Sus scrofa: one gene and its partners. The main gene of each other region encodes a partner of the protein of the gene in region 3 in a complex. Links are inferred from orthologs where the notes say so. Each region holds a gene or a part of one and is shown on either strand. Other genes may lie near its edges. The genes, in order: MBIP, TADA2A, SGF29 and KAT14.

What was found.
Region 1: SGF29 (region 3) and MBIP share a complex: the UniProt entries of both Homo sapiens proteins name them as parts of the ADA2A-containing complex. The link is inferred for Sus scrofa from reciprocal best matches to the Homo sapiens genes SGF29 and MBIP.
Region 2: SGF29 (region 3) and TADA2A share a complex: the UniProt entries of both Homo sapiens proteins name them as parts of the ADA2A-containing complex. The link is inferred for Sus scrofa from reciprocal best matches to the Homo sapiens genes SGF29 and TADA2A.
Region 4: SGF29 (region 3) and KAT14 share a complex: the UniProt entries of both Homo sapiens proteins name them as parts of the ADA2A-containing complex. The link is inferred for Sus scrofa from reciprocal best matches to the Homo sapiens genes SGF29 and KAT14.

What each region holds. Positions count from the first base shown.
Region 1 is NC_010449.5:63,657,784-63,662,083, reverse strand, and holds the start of MBIP (MAP3K12-binding inhibitory protein 1), read right to left. Parts: upstream 2,862-4,300; 5' UTR 2,777-2,861; coding exon 2,648-2,776; intron 1-2,647. UniProt on the Homo sapiens protein: Inhibits the MAP3K12 activity to induce the activation of the JNK/SAPK pathway. Component of the ATAC complex, a complex with histone acetyltransferase activity on histones H3 and H4.
Region 2 is NC_010454.4:38,873,829-38,877,964, forward strand, and holds the start of TADA2A (transcriptional adapter 2-alpha), read left to right. Parts: upstream 1-1,327; 5' UTR 1,328-1,427; intron 1,428-1,428; exon of another isoform or gene 1,429-1,568; intron 1,569-1,752; exon of another isoform or gene 1,753-1,952; intron 1,953-4,136. Other genes in the region: ACACA (acetyl-CoA carboxylase 1), read right to left, coding at 724-743. UniProt on the Homo sapiens protein: Component of the ATAC complex, a complex with histone acetyltransferase activity on histones H3 and H4. Required for the function of some acidic activation domains, which activate transcription from a distant site. Binds double-stranded DNA.
Region 3 is NC_010445.4:18,354,261-18,356,956, reverse strand, and holds the end of SGF29 (SAGA-associated factor 29), read left to right. Parts: intron 1-415; coding exon 416-545; intron 546-619; coding exon 620-766; intron 767-963; coding exon 964-999; intron 1,000-1,104; coding exon 1,105-1,267; intron 1,268-1,951; coding exon 1,952-2,068; 3' UTR 2,069-2,159; downstream 2,160-2,696. UniProt on the Homo sapiens protein: Chromatin reader component of some histone acetyltransferase (HAT) SAGA-type complexes like the TFTC-HAT, ATAC or STAGA complexes.
Region 4 is NC_010459.5:26,483,478-26,487,800, forward strand, and holds the start of KAT14 (cysteine-rich protein 2-binding protein), read left to right. Parts: upstream 1-1,508; 5' UTR 1,509-1,816; coding exon 1,817-2,075; intron 2,076-4,218; coding exon 4,219-4,323. Other genes in the region: protein PET117 homolog, mitochondrial, read left to right, coding at 1,359-1,508. UniProt on the Homo sapiens protein: Component of the ATAC complex, a complex with histone acetyltransferase activity on histones H3 and H4. May function as a scaffold for the ATAC complex to promote ATAC complex stability. Has also weak histone acetyltransferase activity toward histone H4.

The DNA of each region.
Region 1 (4,300 bases), on a different chromosome or scaffold from region 3:
CAAGTTAACTATCCTATTTTTCCAGAAATCATTTATTTAAAATTAGTCATCTTTGCTAAAAATAAAGATATATTACTTTAGTTCAAATATAGATCTTATGAATTGTGATTACAATATAGCAAAAAGATGAATGAATCACTGTACAAAAAACTGAAAAGATATGAAGTTCCCACAAAGGCACTATATTGAATGCTATATGAAAGAAATTTCCACCCTTTGACCAGGAATATTTAAAGTCCATATCAGACAAGCATAAGGAACTAAGTTTTGTGTAGGCTGCACTAGCAGATGAGTTTATATTAATTTAACTAAAGTTTTACATTAAGATTGCTACATTAATCTTAATTAATTTAATGCCTATAAAGATTTTGTTAGACAACAACTTATGTATGAAAGTAAACTATACTTTCACAGTTCCAAAGAGATCTATAGTTGGTTATAACAAATTTATATATACATTTTGGGATAATGCAAATCCTCAACCAAGACAAAGCAACAAATTTACCAAATAGTAACTTATAGAAATTAATTTATGTTTGGATCATAGTCTCATTTCAATACAGCAGAATTATGTAAGCTTTCAAGTGAAATTCAAGATACTTGGTCTTTTAAGAAAACCATATAACAACATTAAAAATTAACTTTAAAACTATCCCAATACATTCAATTATTATTCAACAAATTCCCTATTAGTAATATGAATTCTATGCATTTTTAGGCTATAGAACTTGTAACTCTAAAACATTCACTCGAAAATGTATAAGTCAGCCATTAATATGGACCATTTAAAATATGCATTTCAGTAAAAACTTTATAAATATGAAAATCCAAGCTAATAATAAATAACTCTTCAGCTTGTAAAATGGACAATCCAGAGGCAAGTAATAAAGTTAAAATTAGTAAACTGGAAATCTAGGATAGAAAATACTGTTTAAACATTCAATTTTATGTTTCCTATTGAGGAGAGCTAATAATACAATGATACTATATAGAATGAACTAGGCATTTTACAACATACAGTTAAAGAAATTCCTTAAACCAGTTTCAAAAAAAAAATAATGATTCCCACTAGGGGCAATTTTATAAGTATAGTACTCTGGCTTTCATCCTTATCTTTATACATCTCAAAATATAGAGTATTATCAAAATGGCTAGCAGTTAATTGATGAGATGATTTTTTTTCCCCAACACTTGTATAAATGGTTCCTTCACTGTCAATAAAACTCACCAAATATTTAAACATTTTTGAGGTGACATAAATAATTTGTAATCATACTTTTCCTACAGAATAGTTGAATGTTTAAAATGTTAAAATAAGTTTTAAAAATTCAGTATGCCAACTGTTTCAAAAATGTTTAAATTATTTCTTAATGTTATTTAAAAAAATCTCATCAGTGGGGGGAAGTCTGTAAACTACAGGTGAGCATTAACCTTTCATCTTGACATTAGGATATAAAAAAAAAAAAACCTTAAAGTTCCAAAGTCACATCATAGAAAGTTCTCAAACTTTTAAACCATTTAGAGGTTTTAAGTCTTGACACTGAAATATTAATGTCCCTGTCTCAAAAAAATATTTAAGTCCTTGAAAAACAACTCTTTTAGCCGATTCTATTGATAATTATTCGCTTACACCAAATTGTGTATTTAATTTTGAGTAATACTCTTTTTAAGTCAGAATATATTAGAATTTTTAAAAATACTGAAATAACCTTTTAAAAAACTGATTATCCATCCACCGAAGGCTTTTAAAAGTAATTTTCACAAATCAAACGCTCTATTTTCATAAAGGATGTTACCATTATCTTCCACACAAATACCTAATCCTATCTAAGATTTAAAAAAAGATTTCCTTTTAAAAGCAGACAAACGGTATTTTCAAGTTCGCATTTTAAATTTCCTTTACATCTTACATCATGAAACGAAATAGTGACTTCACTGGAACAGAGTAAAGAGCACTTTTATTTGTTCGATTCTATAATGATATTTCTACAAAAGCTATTTATCAGCCAGTTAAGCTAGTTAATATTTAATAACTTGTCAACAGTTGTGATGCAAACAGTATAAACCAGGGATAACTTATCCAACTTAACACTAGAAGTGGTTGAATTAATTCCTTTTCTCTTCCTTCCCGTTTTGAAAGGGGAAGAGATGCAAGCAACAGCCAGAAAGAAAGAAGAAATAAACAAACCCAACTGACTCCTAACGGTAAATCACCCAAAAAAGGCGGAGAGGGAGCTTTTCCAGAAATCTCAGGCCGTAGACTAACCTATCAATTTCTATAATGAATGAATTGGAGGAAAAGGGATCCACAGCGCTAGGCGCCTCCCAAACCCTCACAGCTTTTCCGCACGCATTCTCTTCGAGCTTGTTTCTCTCCTAGCGGGGTTTCACTTACACTATCCTCATTCGCTCTTGGGGAGAAGAGTTGCAAAGAAATCTAGCCTGCAACCGGTCTTGAACTAACCCACGCGCGGCCAGCCTCACTTAGACCACAGGCGGCCGGGCCCGAGCTCCTCCCCCAGCCTCGGCTATTCTGGGCCGGGTCCCACACCCCGCAGGCCTCCGCCGCCCCCGCCTCCGCCGGAGAAAGGAGAGGGGGAGGGGCCGGACGGTTCCCAGATCCCTACTCCCAAAGCCCACCACTCACTTGTCCAGCAAGGGTATGCAAGGAGCGAAAGACTTCGCAGACCACCTCTTGGGAGAGGTTGGGGCTGCAGCTCCGCTCCATGCTCCTGTCACCGAGGGTCGCGCGACTAAGCTCAGCGGCGGCAGCCATGACACTTTCGTAGGCCACCCCCACCAGCACCAAGGTGTGCTCACAACACACCCCTCCCTCTCCTGCCTTCGTCGCTCCCCGATGATGTAAACACACTGCGTCTCATTTAGAGCGAGACTGTAAGACCCCACCTTCCCTACATGACTGACAAGCATGTGCACCAATAAGGTGCAACTACAGCATTCCTTCAAGGACCGTGAGCAAGAGATTGCCAACCTGGGCTTGGCTTGCTGCAATATTTGAGATGGTGATTTGGAGTCGTTATCTAATGAGAGTTAGCTTCTTGAAGCTTAGCTTGACGCTTAGATGTTGATTATGAGTGTTGCTAAGAGAAAACTTGTAGTTAAATGTTAGAGTTTTAGTACCAAATTAAAGTTGAGATTTTACCACGGCACTTTAGAAAGATCGCTGGTCAGGGACGCAGTGGATCCACACATATTTCTAAACACTGAAAACACACAGAATTGTCATAATTGGGTAGAACATTTTCGTCTATACACAATTTAACATCACTTTTTTTTCATGAGAGAAAGAGGAGGATATAACCACCTCCCCCCCAAAATACCCCTCTTTTATGCCTCATTTACTATCAAGGGAATACTACTTTAAATCTGCAAAATAATTCTGTCAAGTTTTAAAACTTGCATAGTTGCTGTTCTCTGAGTGATATGGTATACACACTCATCTAAAACTGTTTCAAAGAAAACAATGTCAACATGATTCCAACAGGAATTTAACCCAAATAAGTAATTGCGTGAACACCATCTTTGAAAATAAAGATAAATCCGAATTAAAATTCAACAAGTTATTATTTATCCAGATAACTGTATTAAAAGATATCTGAAGGGCTCTGTAGTATTCCGGGGTCAAGCATTGAAAATTTTGTTGTCCAATTGAAAAAAAAAAAAAAGTTTAGACGAATGCTTAATGTTAAACTCTATTCAAAACCACTTGAAAAATAAACATCATGTTTAGATATGAGGGATGAAAGATTTAAAATTCTTAATTCTAATTGTCTAATGCGTTTACAGTAGGAGAAGCAGAGTTGGAAACTTGCACAATGTGTATTCTTCAGTTTTAGAGTAGGCTGAATGAAAGGGGAGGAATAAACCATCAAGGAACTTGGATTAGGGGCAGTAGAGATAAAAGAATGCCTTTGACCTGTCCCTAGGGAGCCTCTTAATTAGGCTTTCATTTCCAAGGATCAGCAGGCTTGACAGGATCTTAAGTAATCTCGTCCGCTCCCTTGTTCACAGCAAGATATAGAGTTTATAATCCAGCCTATGCCTAGAGACATCCAGAAACAGATTTCACAATATCTAATCCCAAATTGAGCAACCTTCTTCCCATTCAAGCTACTCTTCCCCGTGTTAACCTAAATCCAAGAGTCTTTGCAATGTTAAGGTATTTTCCTGGCCTCTAGTTCTCTTGTTAGAGAATAATTCTAATGGGGTAACTGGAAGTTTTTGCTTTATAACATATTACCAGCCAGTTTCAGATAATTTGTTTTCTTCTAGGTATAAA
Region 2 (4,136 bases), on a different chromosome or scaffold from region 3:
TAAAAATTGCCACATTACTGGGCATTATCTATTATATACTATGTGTATTGCTTATTGTCTAAATATTGCTTATTGTCTACCTCCTCCACGATGAGGCAGAAACTTTGTTTTGTTCACCGAATTCCCAGCACCTAGAACTGGTATCTACTCATTAAAAATTTGATAAATGAAAATAGATTTCCAGGGTATATCAAATGTAAAACTACTTTATATTTTTTGAATGAAGTATAGAAAAATATCTAGAAGAATGTAAGGCAAAATGGTAACCATTTAACATGGTAGGAGCTGGTTTTCATTTTTTGTTCATGCAAATATTCTTTTTTTTTTAGAACGAACTTGTATGACTAAGAAATGAATAAAAAGGCCACACAGGCAGGTGTAAATGATTTCTCTAAGAGGTTGGGCAAATTGATGGAAGAAAGACTTCTAAATAGATGCATGAGCATAATGGCTAAGACAAACCACTGTTTGAATGCCCTTCCCCAACACCATCTAGCTGTGTGAACCCAAGTTATTTACAAGGTAGAGTCTAAAGGTCTTCACCTGGAAAATGGGGATGATAATATTACAAGTGTCTTTTCCATAAGGTTATTTTTGAAGATTAAATGAGACCATGTATGTAAACTCCTTTGTACAATGCCTGGCATGCAATAAATACTCGACAAATGGCAGCTATCATAATAATAATAATTAGCAGTAGTAACAAGAGATGTTGGGACATACCTAGCCCTCAAGACTGACATCAGAGTGGACCACCACATCCTCTCATCATCGCGCCTCAATTTGGGCACCTAAAGCCCAAAGAGAGGATGGTTTTTCCAAAGAAGATAATTTCGACGTTCCAGAAGCATCTGAATCAAACGTACCCCATGTACCCTTGAACCATTCAGGCAGTCTGGTTAATCCATGAGTAGCACTGCAAGACCCGGCCTCGAGGGGGGACCACCACTCGCCGTCCTTGGGCCCAGTCCCTCAGCCTCCATTTCCTTTGAGGCTGCAACAGGGGTGGCAGGAATGTTACAAAACGCAAAAGCGGGGCTGTACCGGCCCGCTCCAGCTCACCGCACTCTGGAGGGGTCAAACGGCAGCACGCATCCGCAAGTCTGCGGCGACGAGCAACGCGCCCCGAGGGAAAAGTGATTACTGGTCCGACTCAAAAGTCTGGCAAACTGCTCAGAGCCCCATCCTCCCAGGCCTCTGCTGGAGGCGGGCGGCGAGCTCTCGGCGAGGTCAGGGGCTGGAGCTGAGAGAGGGGAGGCGGCGAGCGCGCGCCACGCGGCGGGGCCGCGACGGCTGGGGCGGCGCCTGGGCGGAGGCGGCGAGCGCGCGGCCCGCTCGCGCCTGCGCCGCTCGGGAGCGAGCACGCAAAAGCCCGGGCGCGCGCACGGCTGGCGTTTCCTCGGCGCGGAAGAGGGGGACGCGGCGAGGTGAGGCACGAGGCGCTGCGGCACGGGTGGTGGCGTGGTGCGGCGCGAACCCCTCTCGCGGGACGAGGGGGAGAAGGCGTCCTCGAGGTTCCCCGAGGGTGGGGGAGGGCTGCGGACCCCAGCGGCGTCGGGGGCGAGAGGGTGAGTCGGCCCGACTGGCGCGAGGCGGGGGCCACGCCGTGCGGTGGGGGAGGGCGGCGCGTGCCCGGCCCGAGCCCTGGTGCCCCGCCCCGCCGCGAGCCTGGCGACTCCCGCCCCCTGGGCGGTCCTGCTGGGTTCCGGCCTCCGCTTTCCTGACTTTGCGTTGGAGGGCGTAATGCGGCTCACGACAGCGTATGGTTGATGTTACCTGTTGTTCTCAAGTAGGCCTTCCAAATAGATATTTCAGGTTCATTTTAGAGCTGTGCTTGTCTGAGCCTCCAGTAAAATGACTTGCCCAAGATCACAGTTAATAAGGAACAAAATGAGGCTTCGAATCTTGTTTGCAAAACTCCAAGCCTGCCCCTGTCCTCTGAACTGCAGTGAGTGAGTAATCTTCACGTCCCTTCCCTCCTCCCAGTAATTTCTTTGAACAAAGCAGATGTTAATTTGGAGCTAGCACCCAGCCTTTCGTGGGTATTAGCGTCAGAAATGTCTCCTGTGTGAAAAAAAGACGGGGAAAAAAAAGATTCTGCTTATTGCAGTATTGCACTTACAACGTGGAGTGTTCACGAGACTTTATATAAAGTTCCTTACTTGACTATCTCTAGTTGACCTCTGAAGTGACATTGCTATTCACTACGTCTAGGACATTGTGCCAGTAACACAATCTTTTAGCATTTCCTTTCCCTCCTTGAAAAAGCAACATGTCTCTGAAGGTTGTAAGGATTCAGAGATGATCCACATACAGTGGTACCACAGTACCTGGTATATGAGAAAAGTTCAATAAGTTTTGGCCATTATTTTATTATTAAGTGCATGATACCACTTACTAAACTCACTTTTCTTCAGACTCATTTTCCTGGGGCTAGACCAGAGGGAGAACCACCCCAACCTACCCTAAAAAAGACAAGTTCATTGACAGTGTTGTATATTCTTAATGATAAATTATTCTCCAAGCCAAAACTATCCAGTGAAAGAAGTCACTGCAGGAAAACTAAGGATGAATTAACTTTTTTGTAGAATTAGCATTTATTTGTCCATTACATTTTTGTTTATTGAGTTCTTTCTGTGTGGCATTGTGTATGGTACTTTAAGACATACAAATTTGTATTTGATGTAGTTCCTGTTTTCATTTAGGCTAGAAATGGGAAAAATATGCATCCATAAGTAATCTTCACAGAGCAGTGTGAAAAATGCCGGAGAAGGGATAGATAAAAAGCTATGGGGAGGAGTTCCCATCGGGGCTAAGTGGTAAAGAACCCGACTAGTATCTATGAGGTTGTGGGTTCAATCCCTGGTCTCATTCAGTGGGTTTAGGCATTGCCCTTGAGTAATGGTGTAGGTCACAGACATGGCTGGAATCCCACGTTGCTGTGGCATAGGCTGGCAGCTGCAGCTCTGATTCTGTCCTTCGCCTGGGACCCTCCATGTGCTTCAGGTGCAGCCCTAAATTAAAAAAAAAAAAAAAAAAAAAAAGCTATGGGAGGAGTTCCCACAGTGGTGCAATGGGTTAAGGATCTGACATTCCGAAGCTGAGTCGTAGGTCTCAGATGCAGCTTGGGTTTGATTCCTAGCCCTGGGAACTTGCATATCCTGAGAGTGTGGCTGCAAAAGGAAAAAAAAGCTATGGGAGTATAGAAGGTGATATTGGCTTAGTGTGAAATATGAGTTCATTTATGTCTTAATAAAGATACTTTGTACATGGTACTTAACTGTTAAATATTTGTTCAAAGAATAAATTAGTGAACAAAATTTGTCATAATAGATAGGGTTTTTTTAGTTTGTTGTTGTTGTTGCTATTTCTTGGGCCGCTCCCGAAGCATATGGAGGTTCCCAGGCTAGGGGTTGAATCGGAGCTGTAGCCACCGGCCTACACCAGAGCCACAGCAACTCAGGATCCGAGCCGCATCTGCAACCTACACCACAACTCACTGGGCAAGGGCAGGGACCGAACCCGCAGCCTCATGGTTCCTAGTCGGATTCGTTAACCACTGCGCCACGACGGGAACTCCATGGTTTTTTAGTTTTCTAGTGATAAAAGTTCATTCGTATTAAAGTATTTTTGAAAAGATAGAGAAATGGAAAAAAAAAAAAATTTGTGCCATTTTTGGGAATGAGTATCTCAACAACCAGAGCTCATGAACCAGATTCTTTGGCTAGTGAATGACTGAGCTCTAACTGCCCTCTGTCCTTGTATATCTTACAAGATTCAGGTTCTGTAAGAAGAGTTTTAGTTGCTTTAGCTGCTATGGGGGTGGGGGACGGAGTGTTATGATTTGCAACAACCTACTCCCCCAAAGCCGTGTGAAATGTGGGAGAGTCACTTTCCTTCCCTAAGGAAGGAGGGCTGAGGAGAGAAGTGATGCTGCACAGAGAGAACCAGTTGTTGCCTATTAGAAATATATAGCCTTTGTAGAGGGCTTATCATGGGCCAGGTGCCATGGTATATTATTTATGTGGATATTGATTATTTTAATCCTCACAACTCTAGGAAGTAGATATGATTGTATCATATTCATTTCCAGAGGAGGAAACAAGCTTATAGAGATAAAATAATTTGCTTAGCAT
Region 3 (2,696 bases):
TGCCTGCGGAGGTCAGGAGTCCATCCACACGGGAGAGTTTTTTTAACTTTGTTGTTGAATTAAAACATACTTCACTTCTGTGTTCATATCGAAAAGAACACAATGAACGGAGAGCTCACTGCATTTTCACTCACTGAACTGACCCTCACCCAGAGCAGGAACTGGAACATGACCAGCTTCTCAGAACCCCAGCTTTTGCCCTCTCTAGTTCCTTCCCCTTCCAGGGCCGCCCTGGAGCTGGGTGGTCTCTCACCCTCAGGATCTAGCGGAAGAGGCGGGGCGCCACCTGGGCCCTTGCTGCGAACTTGGGCGGTGGGACTTCAGGCTGAGCCCTGACAGCCCCATGCAGGCAGGCGAGGGTGGGCCCCGGCGGCCCCCTGTCCCTGCCAGCTCAGGGCTCCCTTCCTCCCCACAGCGGCCAAGATCGCCGGCCTGTACAATGACTCGGAGCCCCCTCGGAAGACCATGCGCCGGGGGGTGTTGATGACCCTGCTGCAGCAGTCAGCCATGACCTTGCCCCTGTGGATCGGGAAGCCTGGTGACAAGTGAGGGCAGGACGGGGCGGGGTGGGAGGGCAGGCCGGCGAGCGGCCAGAACTAACATCTCATTGCACCCTTAGGCCCCCACCCCTCTGTGGGGCCATTCCAGCTTCTGGGGACTATGTGGCCAAACCTGGAGATAAGGTGGCTGCCCGAGTGAAGGCCGTGGACGGGGATGAGCAGTGGATCCTGGCCGAAGTGGTCAGTTACAGCCATGCCACCAACAAGTGAGTGGATGCCCAGCCCTGGGGCTGCTCTCCTGTCACCACACCCGCCGGGGCTGCCAATGGTACCCGTCTGCAGGGTGGGGGAAAGCTGCTTCTCCCGGGCTCCTTCCCCTCCCAGCCGCCGCCTCCCCTTCCTGACGGCTTCCTGCCCGGCTGCACAGCTCCCTGCATCCTGCTTTCCTTTTGTTCACCCACAGGTATGAGGTAGATGACATTGACGAGGAAGGCAAAGAGTGAGTGTGCTGGCAGCGGGGTGCCCTGGAAGCCTGGGGGGCAGCCAGGCTGCTGGGATGGGGTCCCCACCTGGCCGGGGGCTGACCTAAGGCCTCGTCCCCTAGGAGACACACACTGAGCCGCCGGCGGATCATCCCACTGCCCCAGTGGAAGGCCAACCCGGAGACGGACCCCGAGGCCTTGTTCCAGAAGGAGCAGCTGGTGCTGGCCCTGTATCCCCAGACCACCTGCTTCTACCGTGCCCTGATCCACACACCCCCACAGCGGGTAAGGCGTCTCCCCCGGGTCCAGGAACCGGGACCGGCTGACCTGACCGGCCACAGGGTCATCTTCCCACTGCCTTCCCCCTCATCCTCCCTCACAGCCTCTCTGCCCTTTCTTTTCTGCTTGGTCCGCCCTGGGACTCCCGGGGGGAGCGCCAGCCAGTCCTCCTCTTTGCAGCCCCAACGGGACCTGACCCTTCCTGGTCCAAGCTCGCTTTTGTGTTGAGATGGGAAGGCCCAGGGCCTGGCTTGGGACCCTTGACCCTTTCCTTGGCTGACCTGCTCTCCCTAATGCTCTTGACCACGTTGGGACGCGCTGGTCACCCATCACCCAATGGCAATTTAAAGGATGTTCTCCCCTCTTCCTCCAGGACCCCTGCCTGCTTTCCTCTAGATCGTTCTTGGTTCCTTTAACACAGGCTCCCCGCAAGACAGCGGACCCTCTAGCTGGCCTCACCCGTTTAGGTCGAGAGTCTCCCTTCTCCCTGCTCCTTGTCCCCTGCCCGCGGCCCTTTGTTGCGAGGAAAGAGCTCGGTGGTAGCAGGGACCAGGTTCAAGCATCCAGACTTCTCCAGTGACAAGGATGGGAGAGGCTGGGGGCCCATACACCAAAGGTTCCTATCGGTCTAGGCTTGGGGAGCCTTGCCTGCAGGTCTCTGACGAGTCCGATGTCTGTCCCCGCCCACAGCCCCAGGATGACTATTCAGTCCTGTTTGAAGACACCTCCTATGCAGATGGTTACTCCCCCCCGCTCAATGTGGCCCAGCGGTACGTGGTGGCTTGTAAGGAGCCCAAGAAAAAGTGAAGCAGCCAGTCAGACTCTCAGTCGCCTGACACCCTAAATCGGGGGATGCAACACAAGATTCTGTGACCAAATAAATACTCTTCCTCGTGTCTCCCGGGGTTTACTTCTCCAGACCCCCTTCCCCTCCCCATACAGGGCGAGCTGCAGGCCTCTTGGGGGTCGGCCTCATTTGCTCCCAGCAGGCATTTACCCTTTTAGCTCAGGGTTGCTCTTTGCTTCCAATGAAGGCTCTCTATTGAACACACATCAGATTTGATTTATTCACCTTTTTGGGCCACAGCAACAGCATGCACAAGTTTATAGGCCACACAGCAGTGACAACACATGATCTTTACCCCGCTGAGCCGCCAGGAAACTCCCAGATTTTATCCTTGAGGCTCCAGCCGGGCTTGCTTCACACCCCTCCTCCGTGAACGCCACCACTCACAGCTCCGAGCGGAAGCGGAGGTTACAGCCTGCCATCTTCTCAGCATAGTCGGCCTCAAAGCGCTCGTTCTGGGCCACTGTGAAGGTGCTTTTCCAATCTCCAGTGATGCCTGGGGAGGGGGCAAGGGTGGGGGGTAGGAGCGGGGTCTGGGCCACAGAGGAGGCCCCAAGTCCGGCTCCAGCTGCAGCCCTTGACCCGTGG
Region 4 (4,323 bases), on a different chromosome or scaffold from region 3:
AAAGGTTATGAGTATTTTGGAGTTCCCAGATGGCTCAGCAGGTTAAGGATCCGGTATTGTCACTGTACTAGCTCCGGTCTGATCCCTGGCCTGGGAATTTCCACATGCTGTTGGTATAGCCAAAAAAAAAGTTGAGTATTTTGTGACTTATAACCTATAAAATGTTAGTTATTAGTAACGACTGAATTGATGCTTTTGGACGTCTCATCTTAGATGCCAGGTCCATGTTCCGGAATATTCTTCTTGTCTTTTTAGTGCTTATCAAAGCCACAACCATTGATGGGCCGTTATTTTTGCCTCTGCTGGTAGTGTTCTTTTTTTTCCCCCTCTCTCTCCATTGTGTAATTGATAGTAATTCTGTATAATTTTTACTTTTTCTCTTAACCTAATAGAAGAAGCTGAGTTCTTTCTTGTATCTTTACAGTTGTTTAAATTTTAATAATTATTTTTTTCTGTGATATTTATTGCTTAGCTTGCCAATAGGAAGGTAGTTCATAGTCACTCAGGTAACTCTCATCAAGTTTTTAGAGCATCACATATCAACTAAACTTGTAAAATTCAGGTGGGGCAGTTTTTTTAAAAAAAATATTTCTTATTTGGAGTTCCCGTCGTGGCGCAGTGGTTAACGAATCCTACTAGGAACCATGAGGTTTCGGGTTTGATCCCGGACCTTGCCCAGTGGGTTAAGGATCCGGCATTGCTGTGGCTCTGGCGTAGGCCGGCAGCTACAGCTCTGATTAGACCCCTAGCCTGGGAACCTCCATATGCCATGGGAAGCGGCCCTAGAAAAGGCAAAAAAGACAAAAAAAAAAAAAAATTATTTCTCATTAAATTATATTTAATTTAGATTTTCATGCTAAACGGTGAGGAATTTCTTAAAACATGATAAGAAGTCTGTAATAATACCATAGCACTCTGCCAAATTAATTTGATGGTTTCTTTACTACATCATACTTACACAGAGGAGTTCCCGTTGTGGCTCACCAGAAACGAATCTGACTGGTATCCATGAGGACGCAGGTTTGATTGCTGGTGGGTTAAGGATCTGGTGTTGCAGTGAGCTGTGGTGTTGGTCGCAGATGCAGTGCAGATCTGGTATTGCTGTGGTTGTGGCTATAGTTCTGATTTGGCCCCTAGCCTGGGAACCTCCATATGCTGCAGGTGCAGCCCTAAAAAGCCAAAAAAAAAAAAAAAAAAAAGACACGTTACACTTATGCAGAAAATTAAAATAGTAATTGGGTACTTGGAATCTAAAAGTTTGAAGTGTATTTTGGTAACACTGTTTTTGGATTTGAATGGCACAGGGATGGGAACCACCTGTTCAGGGTTTTACTGAAATCTGTTTCTTACACTTTTAGAGGCTTCGTGACGGAGTGATCAGAGACATTGAGAGGCAAAGTCGGAAAAAAGAAAACATTCGTCTCCTGGGAGAACAGATTCTTCTGACTGAGCAACTTCAAGCAGAAAGAGAGAAGATGGTGTTGGCAAAAGGATCTCAAAACACATGACTTAAAATGCATGTGAAATATGGATGGAATAGACAGCATTAAGTGTGTGTGTGTGAATGATGGAGAACAGCTTATTGAAATCTTCAGCCTGTGTTTTTGGTCACTGTCCTTTTAAACTTGATTAGAAAATGGACAATGGATCATGTGTTCTAAGTAATTGCTTTAAGAGCCTTTTGTATCTGAGTAGAGGTGGGCAGATGATTTTCTGAGAGTTTCTGTTTGTATGGTCAGTGAGGAGCCCATTTAAGCTTGGTGTCCAGAGCTTAGGATTGTTCCTGGGAGCACTCTGAACCTTCAGGAAGAGGGGGATGGAGACTAACATCCACCTGGGCAGTTTGATCAGTCGGCATGATGATGAAGCCACAAGAACGTCCACATCAGAAGGGCTGGAGGAGGGGGAGGTGGAGGGGGAGACCCTCCTGATCGTGGAGTCGGAGGACCAGGCGTCTGTGGACTTGTCTCACGACCAGAGCGGGGATTCCCTCAACAGTGACGAAGGGGACATGTCGTGGATGGAGGAGCAGCTGTCCTACTTCTGCGACAAGTGCCAAAAGTGGATCCCAGCCAGTAAGGAGCCTCTCAATTCCTTTGCGTTATCAGTTCCTGTGGGAAGGTTTGCTTTTCTAACCTGGGAAAGCAGTGTGAATGTAACATAGACCTAAATAAAAAGCTAACAGTTGGGAGTTCCCATCATGGCGCAGCGGAAACGAATCTGGCTAGGAACCATGAGGTTTCGGGTTCGATCCCTGGCTTCCCTCAGTGGCTTGAGGATCCAGCTTTGCTGTGAGGTGTGGTGTAGGTCGCAGGTTCGGCTCGGATCCTGTGTTGCTGTGGCTGTGGTGTAGGCTGGCAGCTACAGTTCCAATTAGACCCCTCGTGTGGGAACCTCCATGTGCTGCGGGGGCAGCCCTGAAGAGACCAAAAAAAAAAAAAAAAAAAAAAAAGCTAACAGTTATATTTGTTATTAGTTTAGCTGATTACAAATTTATGTTAAATAGACACATTTGTCAGCCTCTGATCACGTTGTTAAGTTAATGTTCTTGATTGTAACCCAATAAAAATGAGAAAATGGGAAATCCTGTGTTAAATTCAGAGATAGCCACATTTTTCTATCAAGATCATGTAATTGTGGGGCCAAATTATAAGACCAGTGTAGAGCTGAAGTTCAGGCTCATAAAAATGACTCTGGTGATATTTAACTTACACGGCCAGTGACTTGCTATTGTATGCTGATGGAAGGTCGGAATTAGCAGATTGAGAGTCTTACGCCTTTTTCTAGGGTGGCTTTCTACTTGCTGGCCTTCTTGATCTGCTGACAGTAGATGCACACATGTGCTTTCCTAACAGCTCACTTTTTCAGCTGTGAGCTTCCAGCTCTCAAGGAGTGTGCTCTGCCGGGCATCAGAGCTCTTACCAAACAGGATTTTCCACTAGGCCGAGACTAGTAAAGACATATGTACTAGAGAAATACTTGTGCAATAGAATTTGTAACTAGGTCAGAGAAGTTTATGTATATGCATGTATGTCTGTATCATTGTGAAGCAGGCCATTTTCTGCTGTGTGGAAATGTTTTGGATTCAACTCTTCACATTCGTAATTACTGTTAATAAATTGATAGCATTTTCACCAAAAGCAAACCCAAAATTGACTACATTTTAGCTAGTTTCTGCTTTTGAGCTGTCTCTGCTTATAAATTCAGGGTTCTGCCTAAGAATGTTTCCCATTGTCTTTGCAGCATTTTCTGCCCTTCCTGATGAGGCCCCTGCTAACTTCTCCAGCCTCACTCTTTAGTGTCCACCTATCTGCACATGGAAACACAACTTTGCAGTTAGAGTGAGCCTTTAATTCCCCATGAGCAGTTGCAGTTCTTTCTTCCCCCCAGGACTTCGCACACACAAACGTCCTCTGTGGAATATGTCTCTACAGCTTATGTCCCCCCACCTTCCCCACCCCGGCCCAGTCTCACACACACAAGCATCTCTTTTCGCCTGCCAATTTTGGCCATCCTTCAGGTCCCTGTCGGCCCCACTTCTAGCTCTCCTGTCTTCCCGATGTAGGTGGGCACCTCTTATGTGTCCTCCTATTGCCTCCTGCATGCATCACAGCGACTGCGGGGGTTTCTGTTTCTTCTAGAGCACCGGATCACCTGGGGAACTTCAAAAACTGCACTGCTTCCAGGGCTTGATTTATTTTGTGTGCAGTAGGCCCTGGGCATATTTAAAACAAGACAACCCCCGGGTGGTTCTGATGTTCAGTGAGGGTGGAGCCCTGCTGAGCTGCTCTGATTCCCTGCTTGCTCCTTTGTAGCCCTCAGACTTTGTAAGCTCAGGATCTGGCATCATATCTGTGTTGTGTGTTATGTTACAGGCTCCCAGCCTAGACCCTGGCTCAGTGAGAGCTCAGATATTTTCTGGAAGAAAGTGTGAAGAGACCTATAGGAATCTGGAATGCTAACGGTTGGAATAGCCAGTGAGAACAATCTTACCTGCTTTTCCAGGCTCTTCTGAAAGTTGGGGAACCACAGAAATACCTGAGTGGACATGCACCTGCTGTTAGATGAATAAAAATCTCCCTTCCCGACCCTGACCCTGCAGAAAAGAAAGGGAAAAACACAGCCTGGAAACTTGAAAAATAGTTGATAAATTGATTCAAGCTTTGGGTTACTTCTGCTCTGGACAGACGTGTGATGTGCCTTTTGTTTTTCTCCTAGGTCAGCTGAGGGAACAGCTCAGTTACCTTAAGGGCGATAATTTTTTTAGGTTTACTTGTTCTGATTGCTCGGAAGATGGCAAGGAGCAGTATGAGAGGCTGAAGC